3 linked regions of the Struthio camelus genome follow. The protein of the gene in region 1 interacts with the protein of each later gene in a pairwise test. Links are inferred from orthologs where the notes say so. Each region holds a gene or a part of one and is shown in the gene's direction. Other genes may lie near its edges.

Region 1 (7,972 bases):
CAGCACTTTCAAATGAGCACCAACATTTAAAGTATGGGGTTTTATTTATCAATATATAATCACCTGTCAAGTTAGACTCCAAATTTGGGAGCAACTCCAGAAGATTCAGCTTACTTAAACTCCAAGACACGCAACCTGTAACTATTGCTTTGGATATTTCGCAACTTACAACTATTGCTTTGGATATTTATCCTTCATTGACCCAGAAGTAAATATTCTTTGGGAGAAGTCTTAACAACGTGAAAAATTTGCAATACAAGCGAACAGATAATGACAAGTAATATGTTCCTTTAAACCTCCGGGCCAAAGCCCAGTTAAAAGGAAGAATGAACACTCGGAAGACGTCACCATACAGGTTAGATAAAGCAGTATAATGACTTTCTGTGTGTTGTTATTTTTTTTTTTTTAAATTAAGTCTCTGTCCACAATACAATTACTTGTTATATTTATCTTCTGTGCTGTCTTCATCTTGACTCAAATTAAAAGGATACAGCCAAAGCAGAAACAGTGGATATTGCTAACTCTGACTGTCTTCCATTCATATGGATGGCATCCCATTTCAATGAGGTTGTAAACACCAAGAACACCAGAGTAACTCCAGCAGGCTGTCAGCAGAGCAATAGTAACAGGCTCTTATCAGCCAGATCAGGCTGGGGTGGGGGTGGGGGGCAGAGGAGGGGAGCACTCAAAAAGTGAGATCAAATAGAAGAATAAGGCTAAATCTAAAACATAAGGAAACTGAAAAAAGGGATTTTGAAAAGTATTTCTAACTTTGAAAGTAGTTGTTACTTTCCTCGTGCCACATGAAGTGATTAACAATTGCTTTTTAAAAGACTTCTTACAAAAACTGCATGCAGCTATCTCATATCTCTAAGGAAGTAAACTACACGTCAAAGCGCCATCACGTAAATATGCTTAGGCTACAAGGCTGTGAACTCTAGTGCTGAAGTCTCTACAGAGAGGGGTCAAGGAAGACTCAGCCTGCCCAAGTGCAAGTTTTGCTTTGTTCAGGCAAAAGGGAACTCGAGCACACAGGCCTCAAGTACAGGTCACCGTACAACATTGTTCAGCCCGGGTAATTACACCAGGGTTAAAACCTGTAGATACACAGCTTCCAAAGGGACAACTGCCACCTGTTATCTTCCTTGGGACCGGAAACAGGAGAGAATATAACCCATCAGATTCTTGTTCAGTTTAACAGTCTTTCTACCATACGCTGCATACTCCATACGGGTGAAATAACCTGAATAGCTCCCTGGTATCAGAAAACCTGCAAGAGCTGCTGCCAGCAAGTCCTTGCACATCAACAAGTAAGGAAGATAAATTAAGACTTTTGAGCACGCAGCCAAGACCAGGATCATCATCTTTGTCATCTAGGGCAACCCTACATTGTCTCTGCAATTAGAACGCTCCAGCAAAGCCTCACTGACCTACAAAGGAAGCAAAAAGGATTCCATAACTTGAAACATAGGAAAGGTCTATGAAAAAGAGGAGGGAAAAAAGGAAAGAAGGAAAAATCTTACAACCAATTGCAATGATCAGTAATCATTCTGCTTTGGTTTTAGTAAAAAGTTTACATTTAACTTCCTCATTCCTGTTCTCCAGGTACTGAAAACGTGTGCCAGCTGCTTTCTTTGCCTGTGTAGCCTTCCCCCACCTGCAACAGAATTCCTTGTCTTTGACAACCATTTTTAGCATACACCGCAAAAACAAAGTAGCAATCTTTGTAAGCAGATATGGAATCTGCTTAAAGAAAAAAGCACCCCAAGGATTTCTTCCTTCCTAGCTCAGCAAACGTTAAAAAAAAAAAAAAACAAAAAAAAAAACCAACCACAAATCCTGGAATAGTTCTGCTATAAGGAAACAGAGTGCACAACAAGCATCACTTCAAGGCAGGGCTGCCCTGAAGATCAGACCAAAGTTTTGACTTAGACCTGGTCTGCCCTTAGTTGCCATGGAAATGAGGAATACCCCACTGAGAACAGCCTGACTTGGAAAGACCAGGGAAGATTCGCAGCTTTTGAAAGCTACATTAAAAAGCAATAAACTTCTCAAAGTGAAATTGTTCACTTATGAATAGTAGCAACACTGAGATGCAGACAGCACGGAGTACTTAATCTGGTTTAAAATGGTGCACGTTGAGACTTCTTCTCCTAGCATCTTGCCCTAGGTTATTAACAAAAATAAGCAGAATTTTCACTATTTTAGGTTACGCAAATAAGCACTTTAATTAAGTACAAAGTAACCCTGATTCTTAAACACAGCTTTGTTTTAAAAGCATCCAAAGCGGTAACTATATATATTTCATTGGAGCATATCTCACAGGCACTTCAGATATTCAGCTCGAGTGCAGTTACAAATAAAATATATTTTGTGTCAAACATTATATTTGATGCACGTATGCCATCCAAACAATAAGCACCCTCCCTATAAACTTCACCTCGATGATCTTGAAGTAAAAACATTTCCAAGCTCTTTCCAAGATGATTTTTTAGGTAACAAATTTAATCGAAATAACCTAGGAATAGGAAATAAAGGCACCATACCAAATTCTAAGGGGATGCAAAAACACCTGTTCACACAGCTGCAGGCAACCAAATTACTGTCTTTTAGCAAGCTATCACTAGTATCCCAGGCCAGCGGTGGGTTGCATCAAGTTCCCCTCCTTTCAAAGCAAAAATAAATCAATTTTAGAGACCGAAACTGATACATTTTGCATTCGGAAGCTGCAAAAAGCAGTTCTTATTGTGGCTTTGCAGACACGGAGTAACTTTTTCATATACAGCAACTCAATCGTTATACGACCTTACCTTAAGTACTCTTCCCCTCCTCCCCCCTCCCCCGTTCACGAGACCCCTATCTCCGGTGCTTCTATACTGCCTACACAGTGGAAGAGCTCTACTTCTACCACCGATAGAGAGGGATGGATGACAAGCTCGGTTACCTCTGGAGGGACGCACAGGAGGCAGTCCCAGGCTCGCAGACGTGTTCTTTGCGGCCTACACCGCAGAGCCGAGCGCACAGCACCACCTGGCCACACTCGGGCAAGCGGCGGGGCCTTGACTGCCCCCTTTGCCTCAATGGCGCCCGCGGGTTCAAAGCCTGCCGAGCACAACGCCCTCCCCGGCCCGGCCCTGCCCCGGGACCCGCTCGCGCGGCTGCCTCAGCCCAGCCAACGGCCACCTCCACCGGGGCGGCCCCCGCTCCAAGCCCGAGGCCTCCCCAGCGGCCAGCCCTGCCCCCCCCCTCCGCCCACGCCCTCACCTCCTCCGCCGCTCTCGCCGCCCCCCCGGCGCCCTTGGGTCCTTGGGCGGCCCCCGAGCGCGTCCAGGCGCGGCGGCCGCCGAGCGGGGGAGACTCCAGGGAGAGGAACTCGGAGCTGGAGTCCATGAGGTCGAAGGGCGGGCGGCGGCGGCGGCGGCCGCCGCCGTCGCGCGCCGCGGGGCCGGGCCGCTGAGCGCCGCTGCTCCGCAGGACCACCATGGCGGGCCGGGCCGGGCCGGGCCGGGCGCGGCGCGAGGCGGCCCTGGGGTCGCGCGGCGCCGCTCCGAATTCTGGCGCCACAGCCCGCGCGCCGCCGCGATCGCCGCCCTCCCCTCGGATCCCTCCGCCGCGTCCCCCCTGCCCTTCCCTGCCGCTGTGCCGCACCGCCGGCGAGCGCGGCTCCCCGCCGTCACCGCCCCCCTGCCCTGCCCGCCCCCGCCTAGCCCGGCCTGGCCCGGCGGAGAGCGCTCCGCCCCGCCTTCCCCGCGGCCTCTTTTCTCTCCGGCAGCTAGTCCCGGCCCCGATGGCGGAGGGGCACAGCTCGCGCCGCGGCCTTTTGATATTTTTGGCGCGTGAAAGTCGAAGCAGGTTGTTTTGCCGGAGCCCGATTGGCTGGGAGGCGCGCGCGGGGCCCGCCCCCCCCCGCCGCCGCTGCTTCCCGCCGGGCGGGGGCGGGGAAGGCCGGCTCTCTCAGCGCAGTCTCTTAAAGGCGCCCGCACCTCAGGCGCGCAGGGCGGACGGCTGCAGCGCCCCTGGCCCGACCTCGGGTTTTCTGTTCCGACACGCTCAAAGATCTCCCTGGAAAAGCCGTAGGATGACTGCAGGTTCCTAGTTTAGGAAACTCCGGTCCCTAACTCTTTGGGACCCTAGTAGGGCAGGGCAGCGCTACATGGCCTACCACATATCCAAAGCCAGTGTTACTCCAAACTGTCAATGCTGAAGTTGTATTTAACAGGGAAAACGCCCCCATTTTGTTTTCCTCCTCCTACTAAAGGAAAAAAAAAAAACAACAGTAAAGGCTTAAGGCAATCATTCAATACCAAAATGCACAGAACAGCTGAGGTTGCAGAGCACCTCTGGAGTCTGCAGTCCAGCCCCCTGCTCAAGCAGGGTCACCTAGCGCAGGTCACCCAGGGCTGCGTCCAGTCAGCTTCTGACCGTCTCCAAAGATGGAGACCCCGCAATCTCTCTGGGCAACACACCCCAGTGTTTGACCACCCCCACAGTAAAGAAGTGTTTTCTTCCACATATTTGCTTTAAAATGCATGCACGTTTGCTTTCTAATTGGTTGGTACAGAGATGATAACTGACTTCCAGTTATTAAAACCTTCTACACCAGAGTTTTTTCATCAGAATGAGAGATTATCACACGAAGACAGCTTTTCAGGAGCATCATGTTTGGAAAAGAAAAAAAATGCTAACAAAATACGAATCAAACCTCAAAACCTCAAGCTTTCCGGCACCTTCCCTGGAGACAGCATTATCTTCACCTACTGGGTGAATCACCCTAGGCTTATCTGCACAGAAGTGTTTTGTAAGCAGAGAACAAAAGCTGACATTCGGCAGTGCACAGGGTCTAATAGAGCAAAAAGCAGTGTATGTTCAGGCCATTCACCGGCACAAAAAGACGTTGCAGAAGCTCGAGGTGGTCCGAGCGTGCCTGAAAAACATGCACTGTACAGAAGCTGCACCTGAAACAGCAGAAAACAGAAATGGATCAAGTAACCTGAAGACTCAAAACGCACTGGGGAGGTGCGCTTGCTTTGTTACCCTGCAAACAGCAAGTTACTTCTCTCACTTTCCCTCCTCCCTGTAGGAGCCCTCCTATTAACGTCAACTTGTATTTTGCAGAACAGATGTTTTGCAGGAATCACCTGTGCTTAGGCAAGATCCAAAGCACAAAACAGCAGAGAGAGGGCCGCTATGCATTTGGGCACAGGAAAATTCCCTTCGCTGGGTCAAAGGCGTTAGCAGTACTTACACAGTCAGTCCATGCAGGCAGAGGCAGTGATGCCAGCAAGCTCCCTTGCTTCTGCCTTTTTGGCTCTCCCCATTTCTAAGCGTTACCTGTTTCCAGCACTCCCCCAAAGCTGTCACATGAACGTTTCATGAAAGGCTGACCCATTTTGCCCCACTTTAAGCAACCCCTGAGTGTTTCTCAGTTTTTCTACTTGCCTTGGACGCAAGAGCTTTGTATTTGCAAGGAGCAGAGGGATGAAAACATCCACATACCCCTGGCACAGGACAGAAAAGCACGAGGAGCTCCTCGGTAGGCCAGACTGCCACCCACCAGCCTCCAAGGTCAGCCTGTTGTTCAAAAACCCCTTTCCACTTGCAGCCAAAAAGGGGACAGAAGGCCACACCAAGCACCTGCATCCAGCATTAACGTTTATCTGGTGAGTTCAGGCAGCCGCGACCCTGTCTGTGCTCCCTGCCAGCCCCCAGGACGATAAAAATCCCCTCTTGCTCTCGCCTGACACTCGCTTTTACCGCTCCCGGGGGCCTGCCCGCCATGTTACGCCCGTTATTCCCGGCTCGGCGGGAAGCGCCCTGCGGGGGGGCGCTAAGATGGCGGCGGTAGGGCGCTTTCCCTACCGGCGCGGGCCGGCCGGCCGCCCCCTCGCTGCCGAGCAGCCGCGTTTCCTCGCGGAAGCCATAGCCGGTAACTCCCCCGCCGCCGCTGCCGCCAGCACTTCCTGAGCCGCGCCGTGCCGCCGGCCATGCTGCGCCGCCGCCCCGCCAGAGCACCGCTGCGGCCGGCTAAGGCCGCCCATGGCGCGGCCGGCGGCCGCTTATGAGGCGGCGGTGCCCCCCCGGCCCGCCTGCGCCTACACCAGCTGCTACTGGTAAGGGGGGGCGGCCGCCGCCGCGGTGCTCCCCGCGCCGCAGAGCCGAGCGGCAGCCCCGGGCTCGGCCTTTTGTTTAAAAAAAAAAAAAAGAAGAAGAAGAAGAAGCAAAACCAGCTTGGAGGTTTTGCGTAGCATCACGGAGGAAGGGAGGCGGGGGGCGCCGTCGGGGCCGCGGGCCGCGCTGCAGGCAGGCGGGAGACCCGAGCCCGAGCCGGGAGGCTTTCGGCAGACATCAGTGCTTGGCTTAGCGCTCCTTACTAGAAACGAGACTGCGAGCAGGAGAGGGGACAAACAAAACAAAACCCCCAAACCAACCCTTGTCTTTTACAGCGAAGAAAACGTTTGGAAGCTGTGCGACTACATCAGGAGTCGGGATCAATACCCTCTGGAAGAGTTTTACGCTGTCTTCATATCCAATGACAGGAGGATGGTGAGTCGGCGCGTCGTGGTTAAAGGCAGCCGTGGAGCAGCTCCGGCCTCGGCCCTGCAGCCAGAAAGGCCCCGGGGTCCCCCTGTGCGGTGTCCCCCCCGTGCGGGACCTGCAGGCCGCCGCACAGGCGATCGATCCCATGGCTATCCGATGCGTTTTGGGGCAACCCAAAATGCAATGCATCTTCCCTGTAACCTCCTGGTTTAGGAGAATGAGTACGTTACGTGGTCCAGAACACTATCTGCAGCTTAGTGCCGCTAAAAGAGCGACACTGGGCAAGTTTTTTCTCGTTGCAGGACAGATGTAAGCTAATGAAATGGGTTCGCTGGCAAACTACTACTTGTGTTAATCTTCAGTCAAAGTATTTTATGACTTTCAGATTCCCCTATGGAAGCAAAAATCGGGACGTGGAGATGATCCTGTCGTCTGGGTAAAGTATTTTGTGCTTTTTGTGTTCTTTTTAGGGTTTTGTTAATATATGCTTCCCTAATTGGCGTCTGCAAAATCAGACATGGGCAGTGTTAGCCATATCTTTAACAAACTGCAGTTCTATATTAACAACACAATACTAGTATTTATTCTTCTTCTACAACGGATACGTAAACATTGTAAGTCTGGCTCTCTCTTTCACTGCCTGTAGTGCAGTAACAATGAAGCAGTCAGTAAAATTGACGCATGGCAAACATTGGTAAGAATGCATAACAAATCTGTGAAAATTACTGTGTATATACTTCTGAAGCCACCAACTTTGTAGAATTTTAAGAAATAGATGTATATTCTTTTAAGACGTAGATGAATGAAAATATCTACATACGCTTGACATAGCATAGAAAAAGACAAGCAATACATGTCTTCAGGAGTCTGCATGTAAATTTACTGCAAGTGCTGGCTTTAGAACGTCATTTGCAATGAACAGTAATTCAGTAGTTTAGTAATTGCCATTATAGAATTCCTTTTAAATGTGGATCATTACAGAGTTCTTTCAGTTACCCAGTACTGAAAAAACATTCTTCTAGTTTGGTGTGGTGATTTCTGTGTTTCAGGAAATGAAGATTAAGTTGGAATTTATGCTACAGATCCCAACACTTTTAGAGATGTGACACTTATCACACAAGAATGGGAAGGATTTGTTTGGGAAAAAGTGACAAAGTACTTGGGAGAGAATGAATTACTCTTCAAATGGTTTAGCAGACTCCCAAGACGTTGGTATACTTATAAAGCAAAAAAAGGTTTAGTTTAAAAAGAGGCCCGAAATGTTATGAAGCAGACCTATGATGAAATAGGAGATAGGAGAGTCAGGAGAGGCCGCTGCAAAATGTTAATTTCCCATTTAAATGTATAGCTTGAAAGCTATTTTTCCTTTGATGTTTTAATAGCTTGCAGAATTTTCACAGCTTCAAGCTCATTTTTATTACACTCTATAAAATAC
Region 2 (6,960 bases), on another chromosome or scaffold:
AGGATGGAGACACGAGCTGTTTTGAGGCACTATGCTCCAAGCCTGTGCTGCAACCATTAAGAGCAATAATGATTCCCCTTTGCCTGCCTTCAAGAATGGAGGCACAATGGAAAAATGATGAATGCTATTAAGAAGCTTTTTTTTTCTTTTCTGGTGCCTACACCTTCCTAGCAAGTGCTATATCAAAGTATGTGTGAAAATATGAACAAAACTAGGAATTTTGCATGTTTTATAAGGTGAGCAGTGACAGGTTCACTGGCAGTGCAATTTAGAGACTTGCAGCATTACCTGAGTTCACTAATGCAGAAAGGTAGAGTACAACTTGTAAAGCAGGTATTCCTGAACTTGCTCACAGCTCATGCAATGAGTCAGAATAGTTGGATAGTCTTCAGGACAGGCCTCCATCATTATGGCTTTTGGGTTACATACATCCCACAATAAATTGTATTTGACTTAACTGCACTTTGCTGACAAAATTCATTTGCTGACTTCAGCACATAACTAGTCTGCAGTTGTGTGTATGAAGGGTCCGGCAGAGCAGCTCTGTGGCAGTGGCCATTTGGTGGTAGGAGAGCCAGGCAGCATTTGCTGGTGTCTAAGCATCTGCAAGGAAGCGGTCGCTTACAGTTTGTGCTTTTGCCCATCTCTTGTCTGGGATGTGTCCAGAGAAAACTCCAGATGACTGTAGCATCTTCTCAGGGTTGGCTGGGTATTGATGATACAGGAAGGATAGGGAGGCAAAGTCTGCAAACAACAGACTGCTTATCAGTGGATGGGCAGTAACTGCAGCTTGCGGTAGCTGACTGGGTTGACTGTTACTGAAGTTCACAGGCACTTACCCAGTGACACGTACGAGGAAGTAAAAGTTGGGACACAGTTACCTCATGCCATTTTATTGTGGGAGGTAAGAGTACTAGTGCATCAAGAGAATATGAAGGTTTGAAGGTAAATCCTAAAGCTGATAAGACATTATCAGCATGGTCCACACACTCACTTGGGTTGTGTACCCCAGATATCAAGTATGTTAACAGGGAAGTGTGTCTGTGACTAATGATAATCATGTAAGAGAAAACCTGAATTCCTAAGCTTGGGGTTTGCAGACCATCAGGCACTCAAATAAGCTACTTCTGAAACTGTCAACCGTGATCCCTCATTCTTGGTCCCAAACTAGAAAGTACTCTGGTAGCACTTTGTCCATTGTTTTTCTGTTCTGCTTTTTCTTCTTCTTCCGGTATTTTGATTCCAACTAGAGTTCAAAGTCTATATATATATATATATATATATATATATGTATGTATGTATGTATAAAATACACCTGCCTTTGATATGCGACTATCTCTTTTAACCTTCTACCTATGAGGCAAAGGATTTGTGAATTACAGGAAAGTTTGCCTGCTAAGATCTGGACAACCCTCTTGAGTTTCCCCCACATAAAACAATTTTTGGACATCATCAACAAGACATGTGGGAAGAATGAATGACCACAGTGATCAAATAAAAGGGAGATGCTTGTCAACCATAGCGTTCCTCTTCTTTCTGTTGTCCCATTCAAACTCATCTGGAAGAGAGAGTCAGATTTGATTTTCTGTGGAACAGCATAAAAATGCAAAGCTTTTGTGTTCCCATCAAACCACTGCATCTCTTCCTCCTGGGGCAGCAGAAACATTGAATGCATGGGTAAAACAGACAATTTTTTATTGTCATACTCATGAGAAAATGTTTCATGTCATGCCACCGTTCTGTCATTTGGACCTTTCCTTTCTCCATCGTTCTTTTACTGTTTCTCTCATGCTTGTCTCCATTTTTTTGTTTGATTGATTTTCTTTCTCTACTACATCTCTGAAATTCTAGCTCTGCATTGCACAGCTTTTTTCACTCTGTTCATTAACCTGATGGTAATGGACCAATTAATGTTAGCATTTTAGGGTCATCACAATCACAATGGGCTTTACAATGCCTATGTCAATGGGATTAGTAGGGAATAAGAAGTTGCATTAATTTCTTGGCGAATACGTCAACAAACAGAGATTCCCATATGAACCTCCATGACTCATGACCCATTATTGATCAAAAGCTTCATGTCAATGAACTGTTTGCTAAGTCTAATTTATATTTATCTGACTCGAAAAGCTTCAAGCTAATTAAAATCTGTAACATGATTGTGTTAAAAACAATATTTCAAAGAGGTTAGTGTCTGGTATTATTTGATTTTTCAGTTTTCAATAATTTGTTGTGTTTTAAAATCATAGAATAGCTCAGGTTGGAGGAGACCTTAGAAGATCATCTAATCTAGCCTTCCGCAGGGTCAGCCATGAGATCAGATCGGTCTTTATCCAGTCTGGTCATGAAAGCTTTCAAGGATGGAGACTGTTCGACTGTCCTCATGGTGAAAATCTTTTCCTTATACCCAGTAGGAACCTGTGGTTTCAAGTTATGTCCATTGGCTCTTATCCTTCCACCATGCAGTGCTGCGAAGAGCCTGGCTCTGCTTCCTTGGCAACCTCCTTACAGGTATTGGAAGGCTGCTTTTAGATCCCCTCAAAGCCATCTCTTCTCCAGGCCAAGTGCCATTCCCTTGGCCACCCCCAACCATCCTGCTGGTCCAGGAGCGCTGACCTCAGTCCAGTTGATCGACACCTTCCTTGTACTTGGGGCCCCAACACTGGATGCAGTCTTCTAGATGTGGTCTAATGAGTGCTGAGTGAAGGGGGGTGATCACTTCTCTCGATCAGTAGGTGCTCTGCTCCTGTTTGTACAGCCCAGGGTGCTGCTGGCCTTCTTTGCTGCCAGGGGATGCTGCTGGCTCATGTCCACTGCTGTCTACCAAGATCCCGGGTCCTTTTCAGCAGAGTTGCTCTCCAGGCAGTCAGTCCCCAGTGTGTATTGTTGCAAGGGGTTGTTCCTTTCCAGGTGCGGGAGTTTGCATTTGTACAGGTAAATGTGGAAGAATGTTGAGGAGATAGGCAATGGAAGCCAGCCAGACCGTTCCATGGGAAAAGGAGTTTCTTCAGGGCATGCTGACCCATAGTCAGGCAGCTGAGCCCATGCCAGTGTGGCGCTACACCTAGGCTTTGAATTGAGATTTGCGATGAGCTCACTATGCTTATTGTGCATGTATGTAGTCCATAAAAACTCATGTAGTGCCCCCCCGGGGTTCCTTGCCTTGGACCGACACTCGGCGGTGCCAAGGACTCTCCTGCTCCATTAATGCCTTGATCAGGAAATTGTTGGGGAACCTCTGCTTAGGTGTAGAGGTAATAAACACTCAGTATTGGCCATAGTGTTCTTGAGTTTGTGTATCTGTCCCTGCTGAGAGCCCAGGCATTGCCCCCACCTTAACAGCGTTTGTCCTTGTTGAATTTCATAAAGTTGTGTAACATTTCATTAAAATTCTCCACATTGTTCCAAAATAATTTATTTAAGGATTTATAATAGTAATTTTAAAAGGAATTTTAATGTATTTTTTACTAGTAATGTTAGTTAAAGATACATCAAATTAGTCTAGAAATGTTATCAACTTCCTCTCTCCCCAGAGGATATTGGGTCATCTTTACATGAAATGATCTGTAGCATTCCCAACAGCCATAGTTGTCCACATTACAAAATGTTCATGTTCATGAGGAACAAATAACAAGCAGAAATCAAAATCCAAAGAATCTTTTTAGTTAGGGCTTCAAATCTTTTTCAATTAGCATAAAATCCCCCCAAAAACACCTATTGGACTTCCCTTAGGGTCAAGCACATGCAGTGGTGCTCCTTTTCCTCTTTCTGTATCTAAGCATTACTCCTTCATTAAGCAAACATACCTCTTCAAATAAGATCCAGCCAAAACCACCATTTGCAGATCCACCTTGAGATTCCTCATTTGCCTTGCAGGTACCTTTTTTAAATGGGATTTTCAATGAAGAACATCAATTTAAACAAGAGGATGAATAACATCAACCTTAATGCAATAATACCTAATGTAAGTTACTTCCCTGATACGGAGTAAATGAGCCAGTAATATCCCATTGTGATGTGCAAAACTGGGTTTGGGAGAACAGTATGTAAGGTATCACCATTTATGCTACATAGCATCCAATTTTCAACCTAACTTGCTTGTTTTGTCACTTATCCATGGCATAAATTGCATATGGGCTAAAAAAAAAAAAAAACCTATATGGTCAGCATGCAGGTACCTAGGGCAGCCATACATGGCCACACCGTAAGAAGATTTTCTTTATCTCACTAAAAGTTATTTTCATATCTGTAAAATTTCAATTCTTTTTTTCTCAATTCATCTCAGAGTAAAATACAAGAGTAAGACAAAGATAAATAAACTAATCTAAGGACAACTGGAATTACTCTCTAGTCAAAAAACCATGCAAAAAAGCCCAATGAGACTACCGCTATAGAAAGTCAGTAAATTGTACTGTAGGCCAAAGCTAACATTTTACAATTTCATCTACAGTGAAAAGTACCTTAATACTATTAGTTCTAATGTTGTTAGGTTGCCAAAGGCATTACTAGTTTTGGCCTACAGTGCAGTTGACTAATTTGAAATTTTACTTCAAACTAAAATTTAAGTTGGTTAAACTTACCAGAAAACAACTAGCTTTCATAGAAAATAAACATTTTAGGAGCATTACTGTCTTTATTGTGGAATTTTTTTTTTCCATTATGATTTCTTATCTTCCAATTCTTCTAGTTACTCATGTTACAGTTTTTCTTTTTTTTTTTAGGCTTTGATTTAGAGATCAAAACCTGTAAATGGGCCACAGTAAAAGCACCTTGTGACCTCTAAAACAATCTGTTTTGTTCAGAAAAGTATGAAAACCTCAGCAAAGCAGTGACATTTGTGAAAATCATTGCTGATAAAACTATTACCAATGAGGCATGACAAGGATATTTATAAGACTAAATATTCATGTTCACATTGCAATATTAAGGTACTAATATCTTACTGTGTCATAATATATCAAAGATCATGAAATAACCTTACTTTGGACTGATGTGAGGTGAGTTTCGATTGATGTGAATTTCTACTACTGAAATAGAACTGTTTAGCAGATAGGTGACTGTGTATGATTATCATACCAGAATTTTTTAGGTAACCAAGTTATGTCTGGCTTGCGCAAATAGTGCCTGCAATGCTTGAGCCTTTTACTCTTGTTTGATTTATTTTAAGGAAGTACAGAGTACAAATGAAAAATAAAAATGGTATGTGCATACATTATAGAAGAGAGAGAGATTTAAACTATTTAAGAGGTGTGCTTTATAAATTTTCACACAATTGTGTGTCTAAAGCAATCTTTTTCCTAGAATATTTCTTGGGGTCATTTCTATTTATATTAAAGAAATCCCTGAAATACTTATATTTTATAGTATTTCCCAGAACAGTGACCTGCGTTTTCAGTACAGGTGGTTTTCTTGTTTAAAAATCACTCCATTTCTTGTTTTTACTCTATACAGATGACTCTGAAGATTTCAAATTAAGAAAAGTGCCAAAGCCCTTAGAAGAAGCCAAAAGATTAAAATTAGGGGACTGTAAAAATTATTTATTCTCATCAGGGACTGTGTGCCATGGTAACCTCACTGGATGACAAAAATATAGAGTCAGGTCTAATGATGCAATTATTTTCAAGAACCACTGTAAATTTTATTTTTGCAGAACAAGAAATGTTAGAACTACAAGACTTCAGTTATATTGTAAGCTAAATAGATTACTTTGCCTAAAATTATGCAAACTTTGCACATCTTTGCAGTATCAAACTACAAAAAGTTTATAGGACTGCGATCAAATTTTTGTCTTAATAGAGAAATGTTAACTAGAATCTATCAGCAGTAATATCTTACGTGATTGTTTTTATGAGTACAGCCTCAGACCTTTTGAACCATTTTTTCCTTTAGTCCAGGGAAGTCTTTTTCTTTTTCTTTTTTTTCTTTTTCTTTCTTCCTTTCTTTCTTCCTTCCTTCTCTTCCTTCTGTTCTTCCTTTCTTTCCCTTCCTTCCTTTCCTTCCATTTCTTCCTTCTTTCCTTTCTTTCCTTTTCTTCTCTTTCTTTTTTCTTTCCCTCTTTCTTTCTTTTTCTCTTTGTTTCTTTCTTTCTTATAGGCTCAGAATTACCATTAGGCTACTATCAGTAAATGTAATATTTTAGTTTTGGGGTTATTCTTTTTCTGGACCAGAAGTCTTATCAAAGCAAATTTTATACTGTTACTGATTACTGAATACTCATTATGATTTTTTCTAACTAACCAAAAGGATTCTGCTAAGATTTCATTACTTATAATAACGGAAGTTACTGTTGTTACTTGTAGTAACTGGAAGCTTCAAGCAAAATTGGGGTCTCTCAGTTAATGCTGGACAACATGAAGTGAGAAACAATCCCTATCCAAAAGGGCTTTCGGTCTAAGCCCTGGAATCGCGAGGCATTCTTGCATGTTATGTAATTAGATTCATTGCCTCTGAATTTTTCCCAGTCGCTCTGCCCTAAATCTTCAGAGGCATAAGATACAAAAGTTAAAATTAAGTCTCTACTGAGTGTATGCACGATGGGAAAGCACCAAAGTGTGAGAACATTTCTCAAATTAGTTGGCTTTTGTTGAGGATAGCAGAAAGTATGTCTCCTACATAAAGCCAACTATTTTGGCTACATTAAATTTGCTGCATCAACCATGAGGGCAATCGAGTTTCTGAAAAAAAAAAGTTAATGGAATGTTTTAATATTGCAAAACAACAGTCTTAGTCTTGGAAATGATTAAATGATTTTGGTTACAACTACTGAAGAAAATAGCCTGAGGCATCTATCTGACTTGGGAAATTCTGGTCCGGATATATGAAATTTGACAGGTTTAATAGCTACAGAAAAAGCAGTCTGGAAAAGACAAGTCTTTGGCAAACTTAATAGGTAGCACTACCTGTGCTTTCATATTACCTATGTTTCAATATTCATGATTTATTATTAGACATTAAGAAACA
Region 3 (6,988 bases), on another chromosome or scaffold:
TCCTAAAGCAATGGTGATGCAGTAACTCAATTGGAGCAGGACTGAGACCACGCTTGGACTTTCAGAAAATTTTTGTGCCCTTGCCACTTCCTGGGGACGGCTGCTGTGCAGAAGATGAGCTGAGAGCGCTCATCCCGACTATATCAGCACAAATCTGGCTTCCATTTTTACAAGTTCAGAGTTTGCTTTCTGCAAATGTTGTCCAGCATCTGTTTAAAAATCATGTTTTCAGCCCACAGTCAGACCACTGCCAGAATTTGGATAGGTCATGTACGAGGAGGGCCCAGGTAGAGTCAGGATGAATTACATCTAAAGTAGATTTAGCAGTCACGGAAACTTTCCCTTTTTCACAGCTTTTCCTAGGTCTTACCCTGTGCAAAGTCTGTGCCACCTTCAAGTGCTCTTGCTGCATGGTGCTATGCACAGCTCTGTCTGCCCAAGTACGTATCGTGTCCTCTTCAGAAACGACCCTGAGCTCCCAAACTAACAGCCGGTTACTCTCGGCCCCTGTCTGGGGCTCTCGCTCTTTCTGCTACCGCAACACCCAGTGCTGAGAGGTGTGTGCAAACAGAGCCTTGGTGGTTTTTTTCTGCATCTAGGTATATCCTGAGCAATGTCAACCAGTTCTCGGACTTAATAATCTCCTGTATGTCTATGCAAACATTCATCAGAGAAGCTGAGGTTATTTTGCACACTTAAAATGATCTCTCCAGCTGTCATGTGAGGAAGCTAAGCGTTACTGTCCCTGAAATGCCTAGTGTTCAGGTCTGTGCTCTACACGTAATAGCTGAGCTGTAAACAAGGGAGCTGGCTCCATTGTTTCTGATGGGATCTCGGCCAAAGGAAAACAGAGATCGCCTTCAACAATTTGGAGCCCCTGTAGGCGGACAATGCGTTGACTTTTGCCTGTGGGCAGCACGAAGCATGCCTCTACTCCAGCCCGACCGAGCAGCAGCGCCAGCCTCTAGAAGCAGCTGAGAGTGGACATGAATTCAAAGTAAGGCTGCGGGTGCAGACTGCTGAGAGGATAGATCAGGCCCTGCGCAGCTGCGACGTTTGTGTGGGAAAGCGTACTGAAAGAACTAGTTGGGACTACCAGTCTCTTTTTTCCTGTATACACTGAGATCTTTAATCTTTTGGATTTGAACGAGAAAAGCCAGGATCCCCCACTAATTCTGAACAGTTTAATGAATAACGCTCAGGGGTTGTAATTAACTAGTAGCTACCGAAAGTAGTAGGGGACGAGACTAGGGTGCAAAACATTGTCAGATGTAGGGAATGATCTTGCAGTTGCAGAACGTGAATGTTATTTGATGTGAGGTCCAGCCTGACTACGATGATGCTTCTAGCAGGCTTCTTCCGAGGAACGCTCATAAATACATCCTTCAGGTAGAAAGGCTCAACCCAAGCCATAGTAGAACAGTATGGAACAAAGTCCAAGTTAAACACAATGTGACAGTAGTTTGGGGGAAGTCAACAAGTGAACAATCATCAGAAAAGGTCCTTGTCAAAGCTAACGCTAAAGTCTCGTAGGACCAGACGCTCTTCATGTTGGTCACCAAGCTATTATGAGGCATGGCCGTACCACCCGACGTGTCCTGTTCTGGCCAGGCGTGCTTTGCGTCGTTGAAGACAGCGTGTATGTTTGTGCAGTGCAATCGATCCAGAAAGCAGAACGTAGGACATTCCTCGTCTTCCTGACGTTTAGCCATGGCTGGCGCTGACTGTCCAAATGACAGAGGAAACGTTCCTTTTATTGATGGACTGCTCGCTCAACCGCTTATAAACTGTGCTGTTGCACAGCCTTTCATAAAACAGCGTAGTGAGGATTTATGTGGGCTTGACCATGACGAGATTGAAAAAACCAAACAGCAATAGCTTGCAATTTGTAAGCCACCAGGCAACTTCCTTCTGAGAGTTCCCGTGCGCCTTTGTCAATCACAGACAAAAAAGTTAAGTGGGAAGCAAACACAAACATAATTTAATTAAGAAATGGTTTAGTGCTTTACAGTTTCAGTATTAGTCTTGCTAGAATACTGAAACATACTTTTTCAATGAACTGCCAGTACAGAGGCCTGCCTGAGATCTGCCCAGCAGTTACTTCTTTTTTTTTTTTTTTTTAAATTTTATTTACATAAGCTTCTAGTTGGGAGGGGAACATAAGATTTCAAGTGAGAAGTACCCGGCAGCCTGCCAAAGCAATAGGTATAATCCACCTTAAGTTATATATCTAATTGCTTTTGATGCTTAACTGACAGAAGCAACGAAAACCAGTAAAGCAGAGGAAGACATGGGCTGCCTGTTTCCTTAGGACATTCAGGAACGCCTCTAAAACTGCCTTTGTGCTGACACAGGTCCCGCGCAGCTCTTCCCACGCAAGCGCACCCCTGTGCAGTCGCCCGTGGGAAATCACGCGTCACCGGGAAGAGCTGTTCAAAGACTGAATAAACATGGAAAGAACTGGTTAGAAGAAGAAATGGCATTTAATTATTGACAGTCCAGTGAGTAGTGTTGCCAATACCTGGGCTATTTCTGCTGAATTTCAACATCAGCTGTTGTTGTTAGTAAAGACCGAAGTTTTGGCAGCCCAGTGTTATCTCAATTTCCCTTTAAGTGGGCCATCTCTAGCCCTCCACGTTGCACTTACAATCAAGAGCCTGCTTGAATCTAGGAAATTCTGGAAAAAAAAAAATCTCAGAAACTAAAAGAACCCAGTGTTTATTGAAAATAAATGACCGCACAAACTGAATGATCATGGTAATACTGAAAGGAGCTAAAATAATGATCCTATTATCAGGTGGCTCAGTGTGTTCCTTTTGACCTTTGATTTCTCAGTTGCCTCTTTATTATTTGGCATTGTGTTTTAACTGGCTGTAGGCTCCTCTCCCAGGTCTCACCCTCATGCAAATCAAGCATCTGAGGGCCGATGCTTGGCCTGCTTCCTCCTCCTCCAAAAAAAAATAAAAATAAAAAAAAAACCCACTCAGCAATGATTGCTGCGGGTGCCCGTTGATAACTTTGAACCACCTTGAAGGGTGATGGCATCTTTCACCAGTATTTGTTCTTTCTTCCGTTGGGTTGGCTCGTTAAGGCTAACCAAGGACTTTGCCCTTTACCTAATGGTTTCTTACGTTCCTTCGGAGCAGTTTTAGGCCGCTGTCCAAAGTAGGGCACGGTCACCGAAGAAAGAAGTCTGGAAACTTCTCAGGTCTAGCCATTGACTCGCCTTCTGTTTTACTGCTGTGACAAGCCTAAGCTGCCCGCTGCCATTGACAACCAGCTGGACTTTATAATAAAATCTTTTCCAGTACAAATTACCACCTTCAGAATAAGCTGGGTGGGGGGGGCGGGAGGGAAGGAACCCGCCATAAACTGACTTCTTTCCTTCCAGCCCATTTTTGTTCCCCTCCATGCCGGCGTGTATTTATGTACCCAGTGAAAAGTTGTCCTCAGCCTTTCGGTTTTGAGCGAGCTTTCCACCTCCATTTCGGCAGTCACCCTGTCCCAGGGAGGGGAACGACGCGGTAACACCCGTGAGGTGGGACAGCCCGTCCTGCCTGGCGGTTTAGGCCACGGAGCCAAAAATAGCACCGGGACCGCAGCGTTTTGGGCCTTTCACGGGTTTCGGGGGGCCGAGGTGACGCTACTGAGGGGCGACCCTCGGCCTGCGCCCCCCCCCCTACTGCCGGGAGCCCGCCCTGAGGGAAACCGCCACCCCCCTCCCCCCCCCCGCCACAGGGCGGGCGGCCCACAGGGCTGTCGCCCCCCGCGGCCGTTGCACGACCGTTGCCCGAGCCGCGAGGCAGCGGGCCCCGCCCACCGCGGCGCGAGGTGGTGGGGGGAGGGCGGGGAGGGGAGGGGAGCAGGGGAGGTGCTGAGTCACGCCGGGCCAGCAGAACGGCGGCGCGCGGAGGGAGAGGGGCGGGGCTGCGGCGGGGGGCGGGGCGTCTTAGTGCCGCCCCTGCCTCCCCCAGCTCCTGGGGGCGCGTGCGTCGCGGCGCGAGGGGGGGGCGGGGCCTGGCGCGCGAGATGACGCGCGCGGGCGCTATAAAAGGGGGGCGCGGGGGGCAGCGGCGGTTCAGACGCGCCGGCGAGGCTTGAGCGGAGCGGGTTCCTGCGTCAACAGTGCTTGGACGGAACCGGCCGCGCCATGGCTACGCCCCCTTCCCAAGTGCGCCAGAACTACCACCAGGACTGCGAGGCGGCCATCAACCGCCAGATCAACCTGGAGCTCTACGCCTCCTACGTGTACCTCAGCATGGTGAGCGGCGGGGCAGGGGGCTGAGGGCCGGCCCGGCGGGGGCCCTCTGTGAGAGGAAGGGGGGAGGGGCCCTGCGAGAGGGGTTGGGCCCGCCCGTGGCCTTCGGGCCTGCCGGGTGTGGGGCCTCCCCCGAGGATGGGAGCGGGGGTGGGGGGGGAAGGCCGTTGCGTGCGGGATCCCCGCTCCGTGCGATACCCGCCGTGGGCCAGGCGTTGCGCCCCTTTTTTTGTCCGGGGGAGGCCGAGCCGGGCCCGGCCAGCGTTGGGTGCCCGCCGCCGTGGCGGGTGTGTGGTGATGTCGCACCCTCCTGCGGCAAGAGGCGGTGGCCGAGGCGGGGGGTGGTGGGGGGGGAAATCTCCGTGGCCGCCCGCCCGAGTGGGGGGGTCGCGGTGCGCCGGGCGGCGCTTCCCCGGGGCGTGCCCCGGCGCTCTGGGGGCCGGCTGGCTGCCTGCGCGTGTGGTGCGTTGTTTGGGGTGTGTGTGGTTTTTTTTTGGTGCCCTTATCTCTGCGGCGAGCTTCGGTTGCGCGTTAACCGCTCTCTGTTGGTCGCCCTTGGCTGACCTGTTATCAGCACAGGTCAGCCGCTGCCAAGCGGCTCTGCCCTTGGGGCTGGGCTGGATAGCGAGGGCTGCCTAACGAAGAGATTGGCACCTGTCCCACAGGCGCCCTCCTCCGAGGCACGGTTTTGCATTCGTAGTTTTGGAGTGAATTAGTAGGAAGCCATGGTTTCCTTGGAGCTGTACTTGCATGTCTCACTTGGTGCGAGACTCCAGTTTTAGCCATAGCTGAGAGAAATAACTTTGAGTCCAAACAGCAGCTCTGACCTCTGTGCAGCAATCTCGAGTCACCTGCTCATCTAAAGCACTGACACTTCCTAGTGATGCTGCAGCATGTTAGGGCATTCAGGTGAATAACTTCCCTGCTTGCTTGGTTCTGTGTTACTGTGAAGGTCAGACCCTCAGCTGCAAGCTGAATGTAACTGTGTTGGTGGGTGATAGTGGTACACAGGCACCAGTGTCTCTCCCTGAAGCTCCTACGCCGCTGGTCTAATGGTGGTGAATTCTGTGGCAGTTAGTCTTGTAAATAACTGGCAGCTGATACAAAGCTTTCCATTGAATCCTGCCCAATGGCTTTGACCAAAAAAAAACAAACAAGCTGTGTGGTGGCTTCTGACTGCTGGTACAGATGCTTTTTGACTTGAAGATTTGTCTGGTATTTGCTGTTTAACTCTGGCGAAATACATGTTCAACTATCTTTTCAAAGTGCTGCTAGCTTTCTTCAGAAGTAAAAAGGGAATTTCTCAGTCTGTTGCCTCATAAGCCCGATGAGGCATGGGAACCTTATCCCAGAAGTATCTTAAAGGCCACCTTTAGCTTGTGTTGAAGAATCCTAACTCTGACTCATGGTCACTGTTGAACACAAACAAAGGGAGCAGGGGGAATCTCTCCTTGTAGAAGAGGAACTTGGTAGCGCTACACTTAATTTGCTGTGTTGAGGCATTTGAATGGTGCTCAGAACAGGCATCTTTGGTCCCCTTCTGAATATACTTAAGAAAAGTTTGTCTCCATTTCCTCAGTAAGCAAGTTTTGCCGCAGTCCCTTGCTGTCATCACACTGCTGCTACCTTTAGTTTGGACTCCAGCCATCTTGATAAAGGGCTGGTAGGAGGCATATCTGAAACTGCAGTACTGACTTGGGCTTGTGTGGCTGCTGTAGTGAGGGTTTGGTTTTTTAGCATGTGAATTTTTCTTTTCAGTCCTACTATTTTGACCGTGATGATGTGGCTCTAAAGAACTTCGCTAAGTACTTTCTGCACCAGTCCCATGAGGAACGTGAGCATGCTGAGAAACTGATGAAGCTGCAAAATCAGAGAGGCGGGCGCATCTTCTTGCAGGACATCAAGGTGAGAGAAATAGAGCTGTGGGTGTTTCAGGACTGTAGCACAGAGCTAGACTTGAGGTCTGTCTTCAGGCTGGAAGGAGAGGAATCCCCCAGAGGATCCTCTTGCTGGAAAACACTAACAGTAACTAAGAATACTGAATTGCTGGGATTGGTGTGCAGTGTTTGAGCTGCTCAAAATCTAGAGATGCTAAACAAAAAAAGGGGCTTTCCTGTAAGAAGAGGTGCATACACCTAACCCTGCAGCAGTTTGCCCCCCCCCCCCCCCGGGGGGGGAGGGAGGAGCAGGGAAGAAGGAAGGGGGAAGGTAACTGTAACACACTACTTGCCTTGTTCTTGCCAATGACTTCAAGATAGGGCCTTCTCGGTTCACTAGACTGTTGTGTAGAGACAATGCTCTTTACTTCATGTTCCCATGGCAAGAGAGTCATATTAAGCTTCCAGTTTCTTGCTATGGCTTATTGCAAGACTTCATGGCACTGTTTCCTTGAAGTCACTTTAATTAGATTATTTAGAACAGCAGAAAGTAATGTTATATTGTTATGCAAGACTTAACTCTTCGTGGGGAAAATGGCAGAGTGAGTTGACAGACGTTTTCAGCAGAATCCTTTTGCTAGAAGTGAGTATTTGTAAAGACCAGACTTCCCTGTTCTGGTGTATAACCTGCTTTATTTCTGAGATTGTACCCATTGCCTACCTAGGTAGGTTGATGTTTAGGCTGTTAGCTTTTGATGGGAGGAGGAGGGCAGTAGTTCTGACTTAACTACAGGAGTTCACTAAACTGAATTTGAGGAGATTTTTAAGGGAATGTGGACAGACTTGGAACCTG

What was found. The genes of interacting proteins can lie anywhere in the genome.
Region 2: the proteins of NTAQ1 (region 1) and XIAP interact in binary tests that used the Homo sapiens proteins (3 or more experiments, as listed by UniProt). The two-hybrid records come from large-scale screens. The link is inferred for Struthio camelus from reciprocal best matches to the Homo sapiens genes NTAQ1 and XIAP.
Region 3: the proteins of NTAQ1 (region 1) and FTH1 interact in a two-hybrid assay, tested with the Homo sapiens proteins (2 studies listed by BioGRID and IntAct). The two-hybrid records come from large-scale screens. The link is inferred for Struthio camelus from reciprocal best matches to the Homo sapiens genes NTAQ1 and FTH1.

What each region holds. Positions count from the first base shown.
Region 1 is NC_090943.1:160,183,538-160,191,509, forward strand, and holds the start of NTAQ1 (protein N-terminal glutamine amidohydrolase), read left to right. Parts: upstream 1-4,948; 5' UTR 4,949-5,478; coding exon 5,479-5,660; intron 5,661-5,776; exon of another isoform or gene 5,777-6,036; coding exon of another isoform or gene 6,037-6,110; intron 6,111-6,443; coding exon 6,444-6,543; intron 6,544-6,922; coding exon 6,923-6,973; intron 6,974-7,972. Other genes in the region: ATAD2 (ATPase family AAA domain-containing protein 2), read right to left, coding at 3,265-3,483. UniProt on the Homo sapiens protein: Mediates the side-chain deamidation of N-terminal glutamine residues to glutamate, an important step in N-end rule pathway of protein degradation.
Region 2 is NC_090952.1:11,059,529-11,066,488, reverse strand, and holds the start of XIAP (E3 ubiquitin-protein ligase XIAP), read left to right. Parts: upstream 1-3,913; 5' UTR 3,914-3,928; coding exon 3,929-3,964; intron 3,965-6,960.
Region 3 is NC_090946.1:7,331,747-7,338,734, reverse strand, and holds the start of FTH1 (ferritin heavy chain), read left to right. Parts: upstream 1-3,941; 5' UTR 3,942-4,150; coding exon 4,151-4,261; intron 4,262-6,016; coding exon 6,017-6,163; intron 6,164-6,988. UniProt on the Homo sapiens protein: Stores iron in a soluble, non-toxic, readily available form. Important for iron homeostasis. Has ferroxidase activity. Iron is taken up in the ferrous form and deposited as ferric hydroxides after oxidation. Also plays a role in delivery of iron to cells.